Nothobranchius furzeri: one gene and its partners. The protein of the gene in region 1 interacts with the protein of each later gene in a biochemical or structural test. Links are inferred from orthologs where the notes say so. Each region holds a gene or a part of one and is shown in the gene's direction. Other genes may lie near its edges.

Evidence for each region.
Region 2: the proteins of cftr (region 1) and pdzk1 form a complex in vitro, tested with the Homo sapiens proteins (2 studies listed by BioGRID and IntAct, with this or other methods). The link is inferred for Nothobranchius furzeri from reciprocal best matches to the Homo sapiens genes CFTR and PDZK1.
Region 3: the proteins of cftr (region 1) and prkaa1 form a complex in vitro, tested with the Homo sapiens proteins (2 studies listed by BioGRID, with this or other methods). The link is inferred for Nothobranchius furzeri from reciprocal best matches to the Homo sapiens genes CFTR and PRKAA1.
Region 4: the proteins of cftr (region 1) and Na(+)/H(+) exchange regulatory cofactor NHE-RF4 form a complex in vitro, tested with the Homo sapiens proteins (2 studies listed by BioGRID and IntAct, with this or other methods). The link is inferred for Nothobranchius furzeri from reciprocal best matches to the Homo sapiens genes CFTR and NHERF4.

The regions. Positions count from the first base shown.
Region 1 is NC_091744.1:52,968,832-52,972,946, forward strand, and holds the start of cftr (cystic fibrosis transmembrane conductance regulator), read left to right. Parts: upstream 1-1,249; 5' UTR 1,250-1,384; coding exon 1,385-1,437; intron 1,438-4,115. UniProt on the Homo sapiens protein: Epithelial ion channel that plays an important role in the regulation of epithelial ion and water transport and fluid homeostasis. Mediates the transport of chloride ions across the cell membrane.
Region 2 is NC_091754.1:24,601,094-24,604,760, reverse strand, and holds the end of pdzk1 (Na(+)/H(+) exchange regulatory cofactor NHE-RF3), read left to right. Parts: intron 1-317; coding exon 318-650; intron 651-725; coding exon 726-922; intron 923-1,505; coding exon 1,506-1,730; intron 1,731-1,805; coding exon 1,806-2,123; intron 2,124-2,681; coding exon 2,682-2,735; 3' UTR 2,736-3,157; downstream 3,158-3,667. Other genes in the region: si:ch73-390b10.2 (Golgi pH regulator), read right to left, coding at 3,535-3,667. UniProt on the Homo sapiens protein: A scaffold protein that connects plasma membrane proteins and regulatory components, regulating their surface expression in epithelial cells apical domains.
Region 3 is NC_091746.1:66,884,372-66,888,653, reverse strand, and holds the start of prkaa1 (5'-AMP-activated protein kinase catalytic subunit alpha-1), read left to right. Parts: upstream 1-1,447; 5' UTR 1,448-1,798; coding exon 1,799-1,895; intron 1,896-4,282. UniProt on the Homo sapiens protein: Catalytic subunit of AMP-activated protein kinase (AMPK), an energy sensor protein kinase that plays a key role in regulating cellular energy metabolism.
Region 4 is NC_091750.1:44,652,138-44,655,703, forward strand, and holds part of Na(+)/H(+) exchange regulatory cofactor NHE-RF4, read left to right. Parts: intron 1-324; coding exon 325-529; intron 530-631; coding exon 632-768; intron 769-873; coding exon 874-1,078; intron 1,079-1,155; coding exon 1,156-1,352; intron 1,353-2,149; coding exon 2,150-2,305; intron 2,306-2,402; coding exon 2,403-2,435; 3' UTR 2,436-3,566.

The DNA.
Region 1 (4,115 bases):
TCTCCTACCCCGTAAACCATCCTACTGTAGTTGATGAGCATGTGCGCGCATGCGCACAACACAAAAAGGGAACGCTACTCCGCTGTCATATTTGCAAGAAAATAGATTAGTAAGTATTAGTACTTTTTATTGATGTTGATACTTGATTTTTTTGGGTAAGAATTAGGGTTATGGTTAGGGTTTGTGTCATGTAAAACACCGTAAAATTATCCTACGGATAGGACATTTTGCCAAAGTCGGACGTTTTCTCAGAACACCCGGAAGTAAGATGGACAGAGCGGGGCTTAACCTATGGGCTTAACGCATGGGAGCAAAGTGAGAGACCACGCCCAAATTTAATTTAGCTTCAAGTGAAACAATAAAAAAAACTCCTAATATCTGCTTTCTTTTCTTGAATTGCCCAAATTTAATGTTGACACGTGCATCCAGTTCAAATTGAAAACCCGGTGTGTTTGTTCTGCTTTTGAGAATCCTGGTGTCACCGCTCCATGGATTTTGTAATCTTATTTCCAGTGAATGTTCTGGTAATTTTCTATGTATTTACGTGTAAAGTACATAATATTTAAATAGTTTGGGTTCACCTGCAGAGGTCTTCATTTCAGTAATCAAAAGGGATCAGAAGATGAGCAGGTGGCTGGTACAGTCTGTGTCCAGGAGAGGGCGCCCTTTTCTCTTTCCTCAGCCTCGTTCGTGTTTGAGGATGTTAAAACACCTGATGCTATGTGTGATCTCCTTCTTTAAAGCAAACTTAAGTTCATGACTTACTTTAACATGCAGGTTTTTATTACGCTGCTTAAGACACGTTTTCACCTTTCTGAAAGTCACAGCTTTAGTTGCTTTTGTTAAAAGTCCTTGTTTCTGACTTACACACGTCAGCTTTCTGTGTGTTTGTGATAGCACTGAGTGTGTGTATCCATGTGTTTATGTCCTCCCAGAACTCCGGTAGAGTTCACCTGATGAATGACTGTGTGATGTCCACTAAAAAAGCCAATTTGCTGCATTTTATCAGTGTTCCCTGCAGGAATGTCTAGAGGTGTTTTGATCTTCCCTCTCCTGAAACTGTGCGTAACGAGAAGCTGATAAAAAGTTTCAGGTTGGATGTCCCAGAATCGTTTCTGCTAGACTCACAGGAGAGGAGCAGCTTTGGCGACTTGGCCAATAAAGAAGCGCGGACAACCCTCTCACACGGAGTGAAGAGGCAGCGCAACAGGAGCGGACCTGGAGCCGCCACCCCCCACCCACCCACACACACACCAACACCATCCTCTGGGGTGGAGAGGAGGATAAAGGCCGAACCCTCCCCGGAGCGCCAGGAGGACACACCGATGAGAGCGGCGCAGGGACCCTCGGCTGCACACGGATCAAAACTGGCGGCGCTTTTAGGATGCAAAAGTCACCGGTGGAAGATGCAAACTTCCTCTCCAAGTTTGTCTTTTGGTAAGGCTGTTAGACCGTTTCTGACTAACACCTGGACACGTGCTGAAGCTTTCCAAAACAAGTTCTGCTGCCGGTGCGTAAATGCGGTTGGACTGGCGCGCTCCAGTGCGCAGGTTGTTTTAGGGTCTTATGGTCATCATAAAACAGGGATTTGATTTGTGGTGATTAATCTGGATTGTTCAAACAGAAAGCCTCCGATAAGAAACAATTAACATCTTTGTTCTTGTTTGGAGAGAAAGAGATCAGTTTTGACCCAAACTGCAACAGCTAATAGCTACCTCAAGACTTCCACAGCAGTTACAAATGCAATTATACCTTCCCATGTGCAAAATTGTCACGTTTCATGGTGATTCCAGTAGAAATGTGATGAGATTTCAGCCAGAATAAAACTGAAGTTGTCTTAACCAATTCCTGCTGCAAATTACAGAAAGCAAAAAAAGCACGTGAAGCTGCGTTTGTGCTGATGTATTCTTAAGCAACACTTGCTTGAGATCTGAAGGTGGCAGGAGCATCTCTGGTCAGAACTCATCTCTGCTTCTCCAAACTGGGTGTTTTTATTACATCATCAACTTCTGGTAAGATATTACTGGTTAATGACAGTTTCAGAAAACGCACTAAAATGTCCTTTTGTGATTTCCAGGCACGAACCATGACACCATTCTTATTTTATAGTTTTATTCATATTTTGACAAAAAAAAAGAAAAAGTAAAAAAAAATTCACCTTTTGAAACAAACTTGTCAGAGTTGTTAACCATTTCTTGTTCTTTTCTTACACAGTGTTAGTAAAAAGATTTTCAGGGTTGTAAACGTCTGCTCCAATCAGCACGCATTCCAATCCTGAAGTATTTAATCAACAACTAAATAGTAGTTTCGTATAAAAGCAATAGTTACACTTGATTGTTGGCCACGCTCCGTATGGGTCTGCAGGTCTACCATTGGCCTGAACAATTTTAGATCTGGTCAGTCAGCGCTCTGGTTGTAGATCGATGTTGGGCACCAGAGCTGCGATGGATAAAACTACAAAGATGCCTGTTTGAAACGGCTTTGGCATCATTTTTAAACGATTTAGACTTGGGCCTTTCTTTGAGACGTGAGCAGATAGAGGTAGTTAAGTCTTTTATTTAGAAAATGGATGTATCTATTTCTTCTTCAACGACTCTGTGTGATGGACTGCCCTTTGACAAATTTATGTTGTCTTGGACGCATCATGATGTCCGTTGGTCTGATTGGTCCTTATGCTGTCCAATTGGGTGCAGACAACGTTTGAAAGACAACCGTAGATCCTGCCCCATGACTGAGCTCTGTCTATGGGTCGTGGCCAGACTATAGGATGACAGCCCAGGCTACTGATTTACTATAATATTAGTTCAGCTGAGGTCAGTCCCTCCACTTGACTAATATCAGACCAGTAGAACTAACAATCACTCTAACAGAACCTTCCTGACAGCATGAAATAGGCAAAAAGATCTCAAAAAGCAACACATCAACACACTCAAGAACTAAAGGACCTAACTCAGCTAATGAGAACTGGCCCACTTCCAAGTCCAAAACCTCTGTTCACCCAGAAACAACACAGCCATCTCCAAAAAACATTTTGGGATCAAATTCTTCTAGAAAAGTGTTCTGGGGACTGAAGAGACAAAAGTAGAACTTATTGGAAGGTATGTGTCCTGTTCCACATGAATGTGACTTCTCTTCTTACATTCTGAGACCCTCATCACCACAATGTTGCACAAAAAACAAAGTTTTTCTGACATTTTGCTTGAATTCATTTTGTGTTTGAATCAGTTACGGTAATTGCCTGTTTACTTGTCTTAGTGCGCGGACATGTGGTCAGTTAGAGAGCTTGGGGAGACATGAACACATGAAAGCTTTGCCTGTAATTCTCAGCTGTGGGTCAATGATGAGAAACCACACACAAACACACTCACAGGTCCTTATGTTTGCTCCATACACAGGACTGATGTGTTCCATCTTCTTGGGACTACAGATTGAATCAAAGCTTCCTTCCCTTTCACTGAGAACCATCCCTCCTACAGCACTTTATTACAGCTGCTTCTGTCATTATTCACCTCAGAAATAGCTCGTTACAGCACATTCACCTTAAAGCTTTTACTTTTGTTTGCCAGAGACTTTCTCTCACCACATCATTAAATCTGATTTAACCGTGTCTAGTATGAAGTGGGGTTGTTATATAGTTGTTGTCACTGAGACATTCCTCAGCTTCCTTTTTATTTAAAGGGACTATAAGGAATTTGAAATTTTGATGCACACGATTGCCCCCTCAGGCCCAATGCGTAACTGCAGCTTCAATAATAAGCTAGTGCAAGAGGCGTGCATGCTGTACGTGCACACTCCTGAATGAAAACAACAGCTGAGTCAGTCCTGCACCGGTGCAGTTTTCAGGTTTAGACTGTTTTACACAATTCTAATAAAGTAGACAAATAATGTACTCTGATGTATACATGCTAGACAAGCAGCCTAAAAAAATGTTCTATCATTTACAGAAGGCCCCGGCTTGCTTTGGAAACTATCAACCCTTTTACCCCATTACTATTTTATTAGTTAAAATTGTAAATTAGTATGATTAAAATGGCCCAAATTACTTTGGTGTGTAAAATAAATTCTAAAAGTATAAATAAAGTGATATTAAGGCAGATTTGGTGTGGTGATCCTAA
Region 2 (3,667 bases), on another chromosome or scaffold:
TATTTATTATTTATTTTCATAAAGTAATTAAGTCAGAAAAAAATGATCTATTGAAACACAAGCTATGATTGGGTTTGTCTTTTTCATTTGAGAAGTACACCAATAACATTTGAACTACTTTGACCCTATATCTGAGTTGTCCTACATGCTACTATGACTTATACTTGTACTTCACTCTGAAGTTGTTAGATGAGTAACAGAACACACCTATGATAACATAAACCACTCCTATGTGGTTTTCCATCAGCAACAGCAACACTCTCACCCTTAGCAACACATGTTATCTGCTTATCTATCTATATGCCTTATGACTATAGGAGAGGAGGGTCTGTTCATGACTGAGGTGATTCGGGGGGGTGTGGCGGACAAAGCAGGAGTTCGTGCCAAAGATCGTCTAATTGAAATCAATGGTGAGAACGTTGAAAAATGCACCCACGAGGAAGCAGTGAACAAGATAAAACAGGGGGGCAACAGCGTGATGTTTCTGCTGGTTGATGAGGAAACCGACAAATTCCATCAGAGCAAACAAGCAAAATTAGGTTCGTGGAGAGCAACAGTCAAGTATCTTCCTCTCCATCCACGCATCGTCAAAATGACCAAAGGATCAGATGGATATGGCTTCCTGCTCAGAGAGGAGCCCAACCAAGCAGGCAAGGCCATGGTAACATGCTGTACTTTTCACTCCGGAGTGATGGCCTAATAATGTACTCCTTTACTTCTTTCAGGACACTTCATGAAGGAAGTAGATAAAGGCAGTCCAGCGGAAAAAGGTGGTCTGATGGAGAATGACGTAGTTGTCGCTGTGAATGGCAAAGAGGTGGACGGCTACAGTCATGAGCAAGTGGTGGACTGGATCAAGCAAAGTGGAGACAAATGCTGCCTCCTTGTGGTGGACAAAGAAACACAGCAAATGTATAAGAAGGTGAGCCATAGACCTAACCTGGAAAGCCAACTTATATTTGTAAAAGTCTGGTCACGAGTCACTGAAACCACCCAGCCATGAGGCTAAATCTACGGTTGTCTTTCAAACTGTCTATGCATGCAACTGGACAGTGCTAGGACCAGTCAGAGCAACGAACAACATGATGTAATCATCACTACAAATGTTAGTCAGCATGGCAGTTCACCATACACCGTTGAAGGAGAAGCAAATGTATCCTTCTTTGAAATAAATGACTTAAGTACCTCTATCTGCTCATATCCCAAAGTAGATGCTAAAGCTATTTCAAATGAGCGCCATTTCTGAGCTGACGCCATATTTGTAGTGTTTCTCCATCACAGCTCTAACGTTAAGCCTGTATAACACATTTGAAGTGTTGTAATTGGCAAGACACAAAACTGATCAGGCCATTGATAGACCCGCTGACGTTCCTATGGAGCGTGGCTAGACCGACCTGCAAAGCAAACCTTTTTGCTATTAGTCTGGATTTCTAGGCTCCCACTGACTCACTGTTCGTCATTAGATGTCTACTGTAGATAACATATTGTCATGCTGTTTCTCAAAGGGAAAAATATCTCCTATGCTCTTCTGGGAGGAAAAGAAAGACTCCAACTTACCACCAAGTTACACAGAAGCTTTAAAAATGCCTGTTTCTGCTCAACCATCCACATCTGTTCAAGAGACGATAGAAGACCTTCGACCAAAGCTGTGTAGGATGGAGAAGACCTCTTCTGGTTTTGGCTTTCACCTAAACGGCATCGAGGGTGTGTGTGGTCAGTACATCAAGGAGGTAAGATCAACATAAGTACTCAATTTCTCATCATTAGTATCTCACAACCAAGACAGAAAACACCATTTCTCTCAGGTGGTGAAAGGTGGACCAGCAGACAAGGCCGGTCTGGGAGACGATGATGTAGTGGTGGAGGTAAACGGGGTAAATGTGGAAAAGAGCTCTCATGCAGAAGTCGTGGAAATGATACGCAGAGGAGGCAACACTCTGGAGATGTTGGTGGCCAGCAAGAATGTCTATAAACAGCTCAAGGACAAAGGCATGACGATCACACCACGGCTAGTCGGGGAAGGTCCCAGCAGTCAAGTCCACGTGTCAAACAGTCCAGAAACAAGCAAGAAGACACGGGAGGAGGCCAGGCCTGTGACCCCACCTAAGGCAGAAAAACAGAGGGTGAGTGCTTCTCTTCTCTTTTAGTAATCAACACTATAAAGATGTCAATGATCCAAAAGTCAGTCCTCCTCTTTAAATTGTATAAATTGCGTGTTTTGTGTGGAAATATTTGGTATCTTCTAACACCCATGTAGCACTACATTAACTGGTTCTTCATCTTAACACTGACAAAAGTCCAAAACCTGTTGAGAAATTCAGTGAATCTGATGTGTTGCACGTTTAATGCAATCTGTTTAATCACATGCAGCTGCTGTTGCTCAAATTATAAACAATACACAAGTTTCATGTTAATTTGAACATTTCTATTCAAAACATTATGAACACAAAATTATACACATTTCCATTTAGTTTTGGATTTTAAACCTTATATGCTGCCAGTTTACCATCTATGGTAGATCTATAATGAAAAAGCATGCTTTTCTGGTCTTTTTTGACAAATCATGTTCGGATTTATGAAAGTATTCTAAAAAAACAAGAGAATGTGTACATTTTATGTTCTAATTAGCTTTTTGTCTCTTTTGTATTTAATTTTTTGTATCTTTTTTCCTTTTCTTTTAGTCTACATCTGTGTCATCCTCTTCATCTGATGAAAGTCTCGACGAGAGATTTTGAGGAACACTTGAAACACTCCCAATTAGGCCTAATCGGATGTTAATTTTATTAAAACCAAAATGCTCAATGAGCTTTTGATATCCTGCTTAGATTAAAACTGTAAAAAATGAGTAAAAACTAGAAAAAAGACAGTAAAGACTGTAAAAATCTGATCCATAGCAGAAGTTTCATGAGATGATTACAAAAAATGACATTTTTTTAAAGCTTGTGATCAGAAATCTTTTGCTTGTCGATCAAATTTAAGCATCAAAGTCTTTCTTACAGCAGAGGAAACCAATAATTCAGGATGTTTTTAACAATTAAGAGTGGTCTTTTTATTCTCTTTATGCTCTCTGCTGTTTTTATTTAATGTTGAAACAGAAATGCTGCTCACATTTAGAAACCAGAAATAAAATTTATTAAAACAAATCAAAGAAAACATACCATCTGAGTTAAGCCTGACTTCATGAGTTTCTGGTCTCTTAAACCAAAAAGCAGATCACATTCAGTGTTCACTCCTTTCCTTCTTACTCTGATGTTAAACAGGAATGTAAAACAGATAGTCCAGTGTACTGAGACTCAAAAAGCAATATTCCTCTTCTGAAAAACCCAAAAATATATAATCTAGGGGCATAGCAAATACAATTTTAGTTTTTCAAGAACATCTGCATTCTTTATAGCAGTGTTGTTCTGTAAAATACTGCAAGAGTCCACGACTTCCAGGGTTTTGTGTAAAAACAAGAGTAAACGAATCTCTGAAAAAAACACTGGCCCAAGCATCAGGAGTTCATTTGTGAGCCAGGAGCGATTCCTCGGGAGTTCAGAGAGTCATGTGCTTCTCCGGGGCCTGCTTGTGGGCGAGATAAAGGAAGAGGATGCTGGACAAGGCGCTGACCAGGAAGATGACATCAAACCAGCGGTGGTAGAAGTTAAACTGCAGTTCTCCCAGAACC
Region 3 (4,282 bases), on another chromosome or scaffold:
AAATAATGCATGCCGCCCTCCAGAATCCATCGTGTTTTTCAATATTATGTTTTCATATTTTGCTTACCAAATTGATGTAAGTTACAGCGTAGTTACTCGTAACTTTTGGTGTTTTGCCATCCTGACCATGTCTTCCTTTAAAAAGGGTTAGTTAGGGTTTTTTTGGTCTTTAAATTAGGTTTTAATTTTTAGAGTGTGATTTGCTTTGTAAAGCACATTGTGATTTATTTTCTGTTATAGATGCTATATAAATGAACTTTACTCACTCACTCATTTTTAAAAAATTAAACTTAAATAAAATCATTGAAATATATCAAGAAAAATATATTACATGATATATATATACATATATATATATATATATATATATATATATATATATATATATATATATAGGGTTAGGGTTGGGGTTACATATATATATCCGTATTCAATTGTGAGTATAAAATAGATGAGCATATAAAACATCTTTCATGGTGATGTTAGTCCTTTTTAAAGATGCATTGAGCCTCACAGTCTTTCAAAAATGTGGTCACTCATTTTCAGTTTTTAACCTCTTAAATATTTCAGTGTGAAACATTTTGCGTGTGAATCCGTGTATCTTCAAAACACATTTTGCTGAGTAAACAATTTGCTTTTTATTTCTAACCTTTGGAGATTTTTATAATGCACAGCAAGATGCAACCTGGACACATCTGAGCAGGACTGTGTCAAAAAAGAATTAATATTTGAAATAATGATTGTAGATTTTCATTAGCAGGTGTGTGGATTGTGTCAAATTTAAACTGATGAATGTTGGTTTGTTTCCTGCTCTGACTGTTGAAATATGATGTACTGGATTAGTAGCTCTGGTTCATTTTGAAATGTTTTTCTGTTCTTTGCTGTGTAATAATGGAGTTTAAATAAAGTGTTCAGCATTTAAGTTCAGCACTTGCGTTCATTGTTTACACAAAGCTGAACGTCATCCAGCCTGGGTGCTTTCTGTGTCAACACAGATTTCTATTGCTTTATAATAAAGTCTGGTTTACTCACATGCATGCCTTTGTTGTGAATCCTGTTAAAGCTGTTTACTGATATATTTTCTCTAGGTTTATCAAATGGGCGCCACAATCAATTAAAATAGATTTAACCAGATAGTAATTAATAACTTTTTGTTCAGCCAATTTTTGCAGGACACCTGGGAAAGTGACTATTTTGTGACATGACTCATAAACTTTTATTAGATAAATGCGAATTGCGGTCCAGTTTTCCCTAAACCAATAGTAAACACTTCCTGTTTATTGAAATATTTTGCTCAGAACACATGCCCATCGTGCAAATAACAGATGTAATTTGCTTGAATTTTTAACACATTTTTATCATGTACTTTATTTAGTATACAGAAATTTCTATTGATATTAAGGGTCTTTTTAGCAATTGCATAAAGTGATGGATTACATCTTCCGGTTATACAAGATTACAAAATAAATACTTGAATAAATCATATTTGTTTTTATGATTACTTCATTACATTTCAAAGCATACTTTTAAAATGACGTTACTATTTCCTCCGTTACTATTGTCAGAGGATCATGAAAACGAGCTCCTCGCATTGTTTTTCTTAGATGCTAATATTTGCGAGCTTTCTGTGTTACGTGAACGCAACGTCTCGTGTGGTTTTGACGAATCACGCAGACGCCGGGGCGCGTCGTCCCACTTTCGCCGTACGGAGCCGAGCCGCTAGAGAGCCGCACACAGCTGAGTTCGGTCTGTGTCCGCCTGCAGCTAGCTAACCCCGCAGAAAGGCCACTGCGGGAAGATGGCGACGGAAAAACAAAAACATGAAGGAAGAGTCAAAATAGGACATTACATTCTCGGGGACACGCTTGGAGTCGGGACGTTTGGAAAGGTTAAAGGTAGGTCCGACATGCAGAGTACATCCTGCCCACCCAAGATGATAGCGCTTTTAGCTTAGCTGCTAATGTAGCCTAGTCTCAAAGCTAAAGTTGTCGCCAGACCTGGAATGTATGCAGCCACACTCAGTTTGTCTTCTTTGCCATAACGAGTTGGAACTGTTGGGTTGCACTAAACGGTGCAACTTGTTAAACTGATGATTATTTATTTCTTATTACCAGTTAGCGTTGTCAGCAATATGTTGGCCTGCGAGCCAAAAGTCTCTGTCAAGACCCGAGTGAACCTCCTGTGGCTGGTGTTTGCGCCTGTGGCTAAAAAGACGTGTGTTCATTTCCGTTCCCCTGCTTCCACAAAAAATATATATTGGTAAACAAAATCCGCCATCAGGCTCGACCATCACGCTGAGGAAATATTTACGCATTCAGGTGTGTTGAAACAGAAAGTTGGACAAACACCCACGTTTACTCCCCGTGTTGTCAGAGGGTGATTCGCGTTTTGGGCACCGTTAGCTTGGTTTATCAGCACTCGCCTTGACCGGAAGTGCCGATTGAAACCATTAAATTAAACCTACATTTGAACACATTTTTGTTTCAGAAGCATGACTTTTGTCCCTCCTGTTCTGTCAGAACAGCCACTCGCTCTGTTTACAGTTAGTTTCCAGTGACTCATCACTCTCCTCCACTCATGTTATTTGTTGTTGATGAGAAAACAGCGTCTCAGTCCACTGGAGTTGCTGATCCGTGAAGATGCCTGAGTGCTGCACATTTAATATTTCACCGGTGATAAAATCTAATGCTACTGCTCAGTAACCCCTAAGTGGTTTCCACCGTCCATCTAGCTCAAAGGCTCAAACCCTTTATGACCGAAAGAGCCATTTTCAACATCATGCTAAATATAATATGTGTAGGGCTGCAAAATTTACTTGAGCCATATAAATAAGCGCTTATGCACACGTGACCATTTGTTTTCTTTTAAATTTCTAATTCATAGTCTAAAAGGAATCCACAATATTACAGTAAAACCGGGCGTACACTGTGATTTTTGGACCGTTTTGAGCCAATTTTTCTCTCATGCAAGAATCTTTTAGGTCAGGGCAAGTTCGTGTATTGTCTAGTGTATGGGAGTAATGTGAGGTGATTAACACCTCCTGAGCAGCAATCACGCAGTCGCATGAATATCAAACATGTTTGATATTTTGCTCCTCCCTCGTGAGGGTCTCGCAGTCTTGAAGCAGCTCTGCTCACCCAGAACATGCGCCAGCATGGCTGCCGAGCTTATTATGCATCAACACATGTTGTTTGTTTTTATTTTTTCACTTTTCTCCACACACAACAGCGAAGATTGTCAAGAAAGTACGTTGTCTCTGTTTATGTCAAATACGAGAAAAACATTGTTTACGTCCTTTCATTCGTCTTCCTTCTCCATCTCCCATAACCCCCTTTGTTTTTCTACAGCAAGCCCAAAGGACAACAGACGTCAACAACATAGTCTGTATTCGTTTTTTGCAGATAAAGTTTGAGAAACAAAAGTCATCAACAAAAAATCAAGAGTCTCTGGGTCCTGTGGATTTTTGGATTCAAAAGTCTGACATGTGTAAAAACTATTAGCTTGTTTTTATGTGTGACATGTCGCTACCACATGTAGAGTCTGAGCATTGGGTCTTAAGGCTAGTTTATGCTTCTGCATCAGCTCCACGAGGGAGGGAACCACACAAGAGACATCTCCGTCTCATGGGGGCTGTTGCAAATCAATTCCCCGTCTGGACAACAGAAGGCGTAGCGCTGTTCTGTGATATCCTGTCATGCATCTGGTCCAAGATCGTGCATTTACTATTGTGTTTTTATATTTCAGAAACCTTTTAACACGGACAAATATGTCTGTCATTCTCCTCCACCTCTTCATGCACTCACCACCTCTAAACCCACGTTTCCCCTCCTTCCTGTCCACGAATAAATTGCTTGCATCCTTTTACTCCTCCAGTCACGGGTGAATAAAACGTTCATATTTTGAGTTTTTCTACGAGGTATTCTTCAAGCTGCTCCATGTCTTCCGCTAGATATCTTCGGCTCTCTTTATTTTTTTGAGAGGGCAACAGCGGTGCTGTTGACGAAAGTGTTGTCCTAACCAATCACAAGCTCGTGTTCTCCATCTTGTGTTGCTGATTTGGTGCAAATATGTTCTTTGTGTCAGAAAGTCGAATAAACAAACGGACTGGCTAATGACAACAAAACTGCTCAGTATGTTTAACACATTGTTACTAAAAACTCTTAAATGTTTTTTGCTAAATCTGGTATTGAAAGGAAGGGAAAGAACTTAGATTAGGGTAATTCAGCTGTGGCACACACAGATTAGGATAGGTTCTGTATACAGATGTTACTCGGGTCTGTAA
Region 4 (3,566 bases), on another chromosome or scaffold:
GACACAAGTAATAAACCAACAGTAAAATAAAGCTCTTTGAGAAAATGTCACTTGAGCACTGTGAGTCGTGACAGTTTGAGCATAAAAGTTTGAATTCTGTTTGTCAATTTGTTTTTATCGACGTCTAAGCCCTCTGTCCATGTTTTTATAGCATTTTGTTTGTTTAGCATTAGCACCCAGCAGTGCTTGGGCACTGATGTCAACTGAGAAGTCAGTTATTTTTAACACATTTACAAAAAAAAAGAATGCAACATGAGAATGTAACATAAAACGTGGGAAAAGTGAGGTGGTGTGACTGTATCTTCTCCTTTTCTTTAAACTCAGGTGGCAAGAAAGATTAAACTCAGTGGCCAACAGTTATGTCTGTTAGTGCTGGGTGGAGAGGAGTACGAGCAGGCTGTTTCACAAGGTCGCGACCTTCAAAGTCTGGTCAAAGTCCACAAGGAGGAAGGCTGCAAACCGCCCAGGCTCTGCCACATCACCAAGGATCAAATCTCAAGTCTGGGTATCAGCTTCTCACCCTTGGAAGGTAACACTTGTGATAGCAACAAGTCCAACATACAAGATTAGATGTGTTTCATGCTGAAGACAGTTCGATGTCGCTCAGCTGCTCCTCCTGTCTGCTCTGTAGGAGAGAAAGGTCGCTTCTCCGTGAACCTGGTGAAAGGAGGTGCAGCTGAAAGGGCGGGGGTGTGTAAGGGCGATCGCCTCGTGTGGATGAATGGAGCAATGGTGTCCCATCTCACACACTCTGCCCTCACACGAATGGTTCGTATCCTCCAAACACAAATGGTGCAAATCGAATGAATTTAGAATGAGCCAAGACTGAGATAATTGTGTCCAACCCTGCTGATAACTGATGTTTGGTTGTAGATGAAAAAATGTGGCACTAGCATCACCATCCTAGTGGTAGACAGTGAAAGTGAGAAGATCTACATGCAAAAGAAGATGCCCATCCTTCCAGCCATGGCTGTCCCACACAAACTGCCCTTCAGAGCCAGGAAGCTCCACCTCATCTCTGGACCCGAGGGCTATGGCTTTCTCCTCCGGCTGGAGAAGACACCATCAGGAAACACATGTGAGAGAAACATAAATATCTACGATTTAAACTCTTCCACTTTAAGTATTTGATTTTGACTGGTTTTAAATCATTAGATCATGTTCTACGTGAGGTGGAACAAAGCAGTCCAGCAGAGAAGGGAGGTATGAAGGATGGAGAGATCCTGTTGGAGGTCAACGGCGAGTCGGTGGAGTCTCTGAAGCATGAAGAGATTGTGGACAGAGTAAGACTGAGTGGAAAGAAGGTCTCCCTCACCTCGATCACCCCCTCAGGGCTAGATTTCTACACCAAGGTTGGTTTCGCCAGAACCAGATACGAACATTAAAATGCATGTACTGCTCTCAAGAGTCTTGCATTCTTCTAATTGATAAACAAGTCCAAGCTGTGGTTGTCCAGACTTCCTGAAAGTTTTTCTCTTTTGGGGGGTGGGGGGGTATTAAGTAAAAAGTCAAGATTGTTTCCAGTAAATGTTGGACTCTATCAGGGTTGACCTTAATCAACCACTTTTAGTAATTTATGGATAGATTGTCCAGGCACAGCCAAGGAGTAATCGAGTAACCAGTGGCTTATCGGTACAAACCCAGGCTCTGTCCCTGACTTAGAAAAGTGCTACTTTACATATATATATATATAGCTGATTCAACCACTGAATTAAGTGAGTTGGAGCAGAGAAACACCTAAAACATGCTGGTTACTGGCCCTCAAGGACCAGGGTTGAGAAATCCTGGTGTTCAGCTCCTCTGCAGTGGAAGGAGACTACTGAGGTGGTTGGGGCATCTGGTGAGGATGCCTTCAGAAGTCTTTCCATGGAAGATGCTTCAGACATGTCCCACTGAGGGGACCTTACCACAGACTCTTGCTGGAGAGATTAGGTCTCACGGCTAAGCCTCGGATTCCCTCTGAATGAGGCAGAGGAGGTGGCTCGGGGAGGAAGGTCTAGCTGAAGACTTCTGCTTTAACTCTTGCCACCCTGGCTCTTGTCCAAAATGTCAGCTGGGTGGGGTGCTCAAGGCTTTAGTATAGTGGATATAGAGAACGTTGCCCCTGGTGTAAACATGGTGTGTTTTTCTGTTTATTTACTCCCTGTAGCTGGGTCTGTCTCCTCTTCTCTTCTGTGAAGACGATGCCGCTGACAAAGAGACGGAAAACAATAAACCGACTTCTGCCAAAGTTCAGGAAAGTAAAGAGTCGTGTGTTCCTAGAGTCTCTGCTGTTTCAGCAACCACTGATGCCACAAATGGAGAGGTAGAAACCAATGCTTACGAATAAATCACAAATACCGTTAGTTTATGATTTAGCAGTGAACAGTTCTAATCAGATGTTCTTGTTTGTACCTCGGCAGGAAGAAGATGGTTATGAGATTTCAGTTTTGTGAGTAGCTGTGATGGGGAATCACGAGGAGTTCTGCCAGCACCACCGGCCTTCTGAGATTCAAACAAAACTGAACCAGAGAATCCGTTCTTAATTCCTTCCCATAAGAACAGCAAAGGAATGGGTCTCAAGAGCAACACTAACGGCAAAACAATGAAATAAGCTACACTTGAGTTCTTACACAGTTGACATTGTACTAGTGGTGGTATTTAAACTGCCTACTTGGGTAAAATGCATGAATTTATTTTCAACAGACACTCCACAACAAACTTCACTTTCCCTAAAAAAGGCTGAATTACAGGAAGTCTGCGTGTGTTTCTTTAAATACTTATAACTGTTTTAATCACTAACTTACTGAATGGCTTCTGTTCAGAGAAATGGAGTTTAACATAAGAAAACACTTCAATCTCCAAAGCATAGCCATTTCTGCAAGTCATTTTATAAACTTTTACGCCACAATCACTTTTACACAATTGTTTACATAGAATTATGTGGTTATATTCACGTGTAAAGGTCAGAACCAGACTCAGCTGATATCAAGTCTGATATTTAAATTGCTGTTATATCCAATAACAGATATTACATTAATATAAGTAGGGATGTAAGAAAATAATGATACACTGGAATATTGCCACATTTTATGTTTACATATAAAGTGGATATATAAGGGCAGTGTAAGGATTGTTTTTATGCAAACATCTACTTTATTTTGTTTGTGAGGTGCAATGCAAAGTCTGACTGCTAGGTGGCAGCAGTTTTCACCACCTTCCTTCTGACAGAACAACAAGATCTGGTGATAACTGGATGTGTTTTAGAAGCATCTGACCCAAGTCAAATACACACGCACGCACGCACGCACGCACGCACGCACACACACACAATTTTGTTTTACTGATTAAACAATTACTGCACACTTTTTGCAAATCTCATAAACTTAGTTTCACCTCTAAAATGTCCCTATGTGTGTCTCCTATATGATATATAGTCTGAAACTTTTTATCTTAACCAGCGATTTATACAGGAAAAGATCAAAGAGGCTGCCCAAACTTTTGCACCCCACTGTAATGTTTTTTTTGTTTAAAATTCATAATGAGCTAAAAAGTCGTGTTTATGAGGTTAAATAGTTAGGAAGTAA